Lytechinus pictus: one gene and its partner. The protein of the gene in region 2 binds, or shares a complex with, the protein of the main gene of each other region. Links are inferred from orthologs where the notes say so. Each region holds a gene or a part of one and is shown on either strand. Other genes may lie near its edges.

Evidence for each region.
Region 1: mediator of RNA polymerase II transcription subunit 13-like (region 2) and mediator of RNA polymerase II transcription subunit 12-like protein share a complex: the UniProt entries of both Drosophila melanogaster proteins name them as parts of the cdk8 module of the Mediator complex. The link is inferred for Lytechinus pictus from reciprocal best matches to the Drosophila melanogaster genes skd and kto.

The regions. Positions count from the first base shown.
Region 1 is NC_087260.1:27,736,760-27,740,689, forward strand, and holds the start of mediator of RNA polymerase II transcription subunit 12-like protein, read right to left. Parts: upstream 2,638-3,930; 5' UTR 2,537-2,637; intron 1-2,536. UniProt on the Drosophila melanogaster protein: Component of the Mediator complex, a coactivator involved in regulated gene transcription of nearly all RNA polymerase II-dependent genes.
Region 2 is NC_087246.1:19,873,218-19,877,147, reverse strand, and holds the start of mediator of RNA polymerase II transcription subunit 13-like, read right to left. Parts: upstream 2,484-3,930; 5' UTR 2,441-2,483; coding exon 2,299-2,440; intron 1-2,298. UniProt on the Drosophila melanogaster protein: Component of the Mediator complex, a coactivator involved in the regulated transcription of nearly all RNA polymerase II-dependent genes.

The DNA of each region.
Region 1 (3,930 bases), on a different chromosome or scaffold from region 2:
AATACTTATAAGAAAGTTATGATATGACATTTGAAGAAATTACATACGCATGAAATGAAGCTACTAAAAATAAACATGATGATTTAAACCCAAAAATATTAATTAGGCATTTTACCCCCCCCCCCCACACACACCTTAACAATTTGACTATACATGTAGGTCTTTGTGATCTAATTTTTCATACAGCCATGAATGTATTCCTTAAACAAATTCTTTTCTAGTAAAGTTTCATCATGTAATATTCTCAGCTTTGTGGCCCAGTGGATTAGTCTTCTGACTTTGAAACAGAGGGTCATGGGTTCGAATCCCAGCCATGGCGTAATTTACTTCAGCAAGAAACTCATCCACATTGTGCTGCACTCAACCCAGGTGAGGTGAATGGGTACCCGGTAGGAAGAAATTCCTTGAATGCTTGAGCGCCTAGGCAGCTCAGCTAAGGCCGGGGTAATGATAATAGCAGGGCCCGCTGGTAGAACAGTTTTCGAAACTGAAGTGGCTACCCTGGGTAACCCTGGGTAAATATACCTATATTATTATATTATTATTATAATCAATATTCACAGCCTCCCCCTTGCAAAAAAAGAGAAAAAAATCAAGAGAAAGCATTGTCTTTTGCGCTGTCTAAAGAAGCTACATGTAACTTGATACAAGAGTGGACTCCTCTTCAAATTTTGAAGGAGAATCCAATATCTCAAGTTTAAAATGATATATTTAATTTGAAAGTGGTTCAAGTAGGTTACGAAAAGTGCACTAAAATTATCCTGGTACTCGTACTACTACATGTATGTTTTATTTAACGACAGGCAACCATGGTTCAGATACAGAAAGTATTGTATTATGTTACCCACATGAGCCCAAGTACCCGAACTTGCCATACACATTAATCCATTTACACAATTTATGACATGTAAAGAAGTGAGTTATATTGGCTTAAGGACGTTCCTCAATTATGTTTGTGCGCATTATGATCTGCGCATAGTTTACACTCTGCGCGCTGACGTCACAATGGATGAACAGGTGATTAATTAGCTGCGGGTATGAGCTGATTTTTCTCATCTTCTGCACTTTAACTACGTTATTTCATGAAGCTAAAAAATCGAATTATTCCATGGACCATTCAAAAAAGTATTCTTTACGATTTCAAAATATTTTTCTCTGTAGTGCTGCCAAGAATCACGAATATTACCCCGAGTTTGAATAAATGGTAGAGTGGTTTTGATTTTTACTTCACATAGATACTAAGCATTCGGCGCATTTTTGGTGTTTTAAAATTCACATTTACTCTAATAAAAATGCTGATAGTTTAAAAACAAGCACATGAACCCCTATTTTTTAATGTTTGTACCTCTTAGGTATACCTTCCTCTACAACTCTGCAAATTTTGGTGAAAATGACATGGATTTTGAATAAAGTGCAGCATTTATTGTACGTTTGTAGTTTGTTACTGAAATTTTACATTTTTTAGATTAGGATTTTGTTATCTTTTACGCCATTTTTAAGAACTGACAGTGGTGTTAAACTTAAAATTGCGAACAAATAGCACTATAAATAGATTCTCCATTTAACGACACAATTATCAACCCTCTTGCGAAATTTGATGACTTTTTCATGTATTTTGACTGGAGTGAGTAATAGAGGTTTAAACTCATTGTAGTAATCTTGGGCGGTCTAAAAATGCCAAATTCTTTTGAATGCGCAATTCTTAAGAACATCAATTTGGGTGAACTTTGAAGCTCTATAGCAAAAAATCAAGCACATGGACCTCTGTTAATTTTTGCATATTTCGAATATTAAGGTTCTGAAGTATCTATGTGCAAAGTTTGGTGAAAATGACATGGATTTCACTTTAACTGTGGAACGTCCTTAAAATGGTACCCCCAAAAAAAACAAAAACATAATGATTTGTGGAAATGGGACAGGACAATATAAGCTGGGTTCTAAAAGAAACTGATCAAACTTTACTAGGGTACTGCACAAATTCCACTTGGTCAAAATGAACAATATTTTTACACAGGCTAGCTTCAATAATCTTTACTACATGTAAGCACATGGTTCAATCACAGATAATATATATATATACATGCACATGTAGCCCTCACATGTATTGGTTTCAGAATCTAAAGTCACAAAATGGCAAAAGAAAGACCAATGAAATGAGATGAAATGGAATTAAACAAACTTCCAAGTTTATTACACATGTCCTTCACAGGCATGCTCAAGTGATTGGCTTGATCACAAAGTAGCTATGTACAGGAAGTTAAAAACAAAATAACTGGAACAATCGCACACCCACAGACAGATCCCAACGGGGAGGGGGAATAAAGAAAAAAATAAATGAATAAAAAAGAAACAAACAATATGAAATGAATTGAATCAATACATCAAAATTGAAGTACATAATTTGAGAATGAAGTGATAAAATGAAAGTACACAAGCAAATGAGTATCTAGCCCCTCCCCCCAGAACAAAATGCAATTAACAAACAAACAAAAGTAGAAAGAAATCCTACAAATACTCGGCTTTTCATAATACTTACAAGAACAAAGTTGTCTTTGGATATTGGCTGCCTTTTCTTTCCTGTATCTTGAAAAGTGTTGAGTTTCTGCTTCTCTGCTACTATTGCACTAAAATACACACCAAACTAAAAAGAAAGAAAAAAAATCAATGATAAGCACATTAATTAATCTTTAACAAATACCAGTAAACTTTTTTATGAGTTTACTGGGAACAATGAAAACACAAAACAGAAAAGACAATTGAATAGACTTTGCAATGTCTAGACTTTATGGAGAGGTAATAATGAAAATATAAAATATAAAAAAGAGAAAAGAAATAATCATCCCTAGACTTTATGGAGGAGTGATTTTTGAGCATGTACGTGTTTTAAAGAAATTCAGACATGATAGGACATTGCAAAAATGGCTATATATGAAACAGTAATGAGAGTAATAAATTTCACTGAATTTCTTCTAGAGTGTACATAATGTACTTGAGAAAACCAGGCATTACATCGTACATTGGGTGTATTCAGACCAACTTAATCACCAGAATACCCAATAAATTATAAAAACTTGTTCAGGCTAAAATATACAGGATAATTATTTTCTGCATTCGCATCAACCAGAAGCAGACACTTTCAGGGGTAAGTTATTGAAGTTTTAAAGCATCCACAGTATGGTCTAATTAGCATGATTCCAAATCACTAGGTATGCAGCCAAAGGAGCCAGCGACCAACTACTCGTCAAGTTGAGAAACTTCTTGTAATCTGCTTTTACACTGCAAAATTACCTGCAACCTTGGAAAAAAAAGAGGGTATTTTTCTTTCAGGAATATTAATTTAGAGTACAGGTAATTTGCTTTCACACTGCCAAAGATACCTGATATTTTCTGATCAGCAAGATCACAGTAAATTTCATGATCAGAAAATTCCTGGTATTCTCGAACTTCAGGCTGTCTGAATGTGCCTTTGTGTATAAAGGTTGCGTTCACTCACTGCTTTTTTACCCAATCTTTTCAAGGACATCTACCACAGTTGTGTCCAATCAATTTTCTGTTGGATGTGGGAATATATGGACTTCTTCCAAATTGCAAACATGAAAGTAATGAAAAAGAGGCCGTTCTCATTACGCTTTCTAAAACTAGTTTACTGGAAACCGATTCAGGATACCACTTTGGAAGATCGCTTTGCTAGCGTTCCCACTTGATCACACGAAAGTGGTTTTCAAAATCACTTCACGTAAAGCGCTCTTGTTGCTATGGAAATGCTCTCAGTGGGGTGACACGTTTCACGCGAAATTCGAAACCGCAGCATGGGCATTCTACACCTGTCGTGTGGAGTAGCGCGCTCAAAATGTGCGAAGATCGCTTCCCGAAGAACGGTTGTGTCCTCACTTACGCTAAAACCAGTTTAACGAGGCAAAGCGATCTTGA
Region 2 (3,930 bases):
TATTGAATAACAACACCCTGGGGCCCTCGACATATGCTCTTAAGACTCATCAATAAATAATAATGCCTCAATAGAACATCACATAATTCTTAATGAAGAAATAGATTCTGATCAATTTCTTGGACAAATGTGGAGGCCACGACAGAGGTACAAAACTTAATATATTAGAAGTTATTGATCTCATCCACCCCTTTGCATAATATAAACGAATCTGCCTAAATCTCTCCATTCCCTTTGGTAATAAGTCTGTTAGACTTAGGTGAAAAAATATTAATAGGAAAATAATGTACTCTTTGCATAATTTGGTCTTAAAACCTGTTTTGACTTTCGTAATTATTCTACTTTTGGAAGGATGACTTGTTGACTGTATTATTAAAAAATGCTTTAATTAGGGGAAAGTTTGCAAGCAAAGTTTACTGTCATTTTAATTGAAATTTCAAGACCCTAGGGTATACTCCAAAGAGTTGAAATAGACTCATGAAATTGAAATTGAAATTGATCTCAAATTGTACGGTGTAAAGATAAGAAGTTGGATTTTAACCAATATAAACTTTTTGTAAGACTGGGCCCGGAAATGTTTCAAATTAAGTTGTATATGTGTTTGTACTGGCTTCTGACAGAACTATGGAAACCTCTGTTTCTTCTTTTTCTTTTTCTTTGATAGGTGTCTTTATCTCTAATGTGTACGCAACTGGAACATTATGCATTTACCTGATCAATTTTCACAATCAATCTATCGGTGCAGTGTAGCAGAATATCATCTGCATAACAATCTAATTTGTGCATAATCCTGGTAGTAATAAATCTTCATGAACACATAATTCCTTTTCTTCATGGTCGGGTTGCACAAGCATTTGAATATTTCCCATGCACCACAAAATCATCAATACTTAATGGCATCACAGACATTTCCTACTTCACAGATGGTACCCTCATTTAGTCTAGTTGCAGTCTGAATTTGAGACTATAGGAGATGAGTTTGAAATGTGTTCTAAAGCTTCTCCAAACCTACAAGGTACATGTAAATTGAGAAAGCAAGTAATCATGCTAGACTTGTTTCCAAACCCATTTGAAACTATGTCGGCCTTGTCACCATTCTTTTAGAAACCAAAAATGGATATAAGCCTTTTTAGCTCTAAATTTAGAACTGATCCTAGTCTCTTCACTGTTTCCTCTTCATTGTAATGACACAGAGTGTGAATCAAGTGCTCTCTAGCACTTCTATAACATCTGTGCATTTAAAACAAAATATGGTTAATGGGACAAACAATAGAGAAATAATTATAAAGTGAATGTTTGCAACATATGCCATTACTTTATCTTGGAACACAGAGACATAATGTCATCTCTTAATTAGACAGTATGACATCATGCCATTGTACTATGTGTCAAGCCTTTTTTTCTGTCCCCTAACACCCCCCCCCCCCCACGCTGGTTAATCCTGACCGCCCATTTTTTTTATTGCAGTTAAACATTTCTCAAATAAATGCAATGCCTCGGGCCTAGGGACTAATAATCCAATGCAGTCAAACCTGCTTTTAAGACCACCTGTCTAAAAAGACCATGCTCTGCTTCCCTCAAATTGTATTATTATAATTATTAGTGTCCAGAGAGACCATTTGCTCAAAAAGGCAACTTTCCATCTATACATTGGGTGGTCTTTAAAGACAGGTTTCACTACAGATAGACCTAAAGGTTTCACTCAGTGCAAGGTATCATTACTGCCTGTGGTATACATGTAATACAATGACTGGACCTATCAATTCAAAAGGTTGGTGGTCCATGGTGTATACCACGTATTTACACTTTGAACAAAGTATTATACATATCAATGTCTAAGAAAGTTAAATCAATATACATTTTCTTATTTTTGTGCTGATTTAACTAGTTGATTAATATCATATGATCACTGGAAAAATGAGCTCACAGAACTTCATACATATCCGAGCTTGAGCAAAGCAGCCTTTATTTATAATGCCACCATCTCGAAAGGACGTTGACACATTAGTACTTCATTATCACTCCTCTCTAGATGATAAGGACCGATTTGCGATATGTCATTCACCATCTCCAACCCATCAAGTGGCGAATTTTCACCCATAAGCAGGGTAAGAATTTTTTTTTGGGGGGGTGAGAGGGTTTTGGTCAATTTTTTCTTTTCTTTTCTTCACTTAGGTAAATCTCTAAATTCTAACTAACGTAACTGCTAAAATAGCAAGTTGTTCGTGATTTGGGTGATTTTCTTTGTTTCATTATTTTCTTTGGGGGGATTCTTTGCATATAAGTAAGTATACTGACCAGGAGTTGCAGGTCCATTGATCTTGCCATGCCCTAGCCCCATGGAGGGTGGTGGGATGTAGCCACCAGCCTGAACAGCCATCGCATGGTGATGGGAGAACTCGCTCTGAGGTACCAGCACATAGCAGCTCGGATACAGCATGCGGATACCGCCCGTAAGGTAGCCATCCGTTAGATAACTCCCTGCAAGGGGGAGGGGGGGAAATGGTGGTGGAAATGAAAGAAAACACTCAAGCTAAACATAAGGGTTTGTATACTGTAATGTACATCAAATATGTTACAAAGTTTTATAAAAGTGTTACTATAAAAACATTGATTCTAAAAATCTTGAAATTTTTCAGCTTTTCATGTTGGCATTTAAAAAGACGTAAAATGATAATTCATACAACAGACGAAAATAGAATGAATGCAGTTGTGATTTAATTATCTGTAATTCTAGGGTAAAAAAATGATGATTTAAATATAATGCAGCCGTAGACCCCTGTTACATCTGAGAGATTCCCTACCTCGGGCCGGCCCGGGGCCTACCTCGGGTCGGAAAGAAATCAGATGTAAACATCCCAAACCTACCTCAGGCCACCTTTTAGCGAACCTACCGGAGACCACATCCAGAGGTAGTCTCGGGTAAGTATCGGGCCGGCCCCGGTCCACCGATTCGTAGATGTAAACGCACACCAGCTTTCGAACCTATCTCGGTCCGTTCGCCAGCTGTCAAATTACGTCATAGCGCGCGCTATCCCCTCCCCAGCCCCGTCGTTCTTCGAATGTTTTGCGGCATGCGACATGTGAATTGTGATTGATAAAGTCTTTGATTTGAGTGGAAAGAAGGAAGCATTCTAAACGTATCCTTTTCAAGTCGATCATATCTTCAACGACTGCTGGGATCATCAGCATTCTTCCAGAATCTCGGGTAAAGGTAAAGAGTCGTTTCGACTCTCTGGAAATGATCGGCACATGTCCCACCCTGTCATTTTTGTGTAGCAGCCGACTAGTGTAACGAAATGTAAACAACTTCAATTAGCGCGCGCAAATTATTCAGAGCCTAGATCGAGAGCGCCCTTTGGTGTCAGCAATCGGATACCGCTCGAAACCGTACCGATAGGGGAGGGAATGAACGCTGTGATGTAAACAGACCACATTTCGGACTCGGTCCGTTCGCGAAACTAATCCACCAATAATCCAGTCAAGGTTGCAAGTGGACTCGGTCGGGTCTCGGGTAGGAAACTTTCAGATGTAACAGGGGTCGTAGTCATCTTACAGGGGCCAACAGGCTTCAGAAGGCAAAAGGTTAAGAAAGATTATAGGATAGAAAAGATCATTCTTAAAATAGCTTAAAATAGCTAACACGTATAAAAAATAATTACACACCCAGCATACATGAGATACAAAATATTGTGAACACTTGCATTGGATATATATAATTTTAATAGCATGGTTAACCTCATTTATCTGGCTAAGAAAGCTTAGATAATGAGACCACTGAACAGCTTGAAAGCTGAAGAGAAAAATACATGTAAAAACAAGCTTGAATAAGAATGTGGATTGGATTCAGAGGCTAAACATTGTAACAGACATTATAATCACACAAGATATTTAAAGGAAGATAAGTGGAAAGAAATGTTGGGCTACATT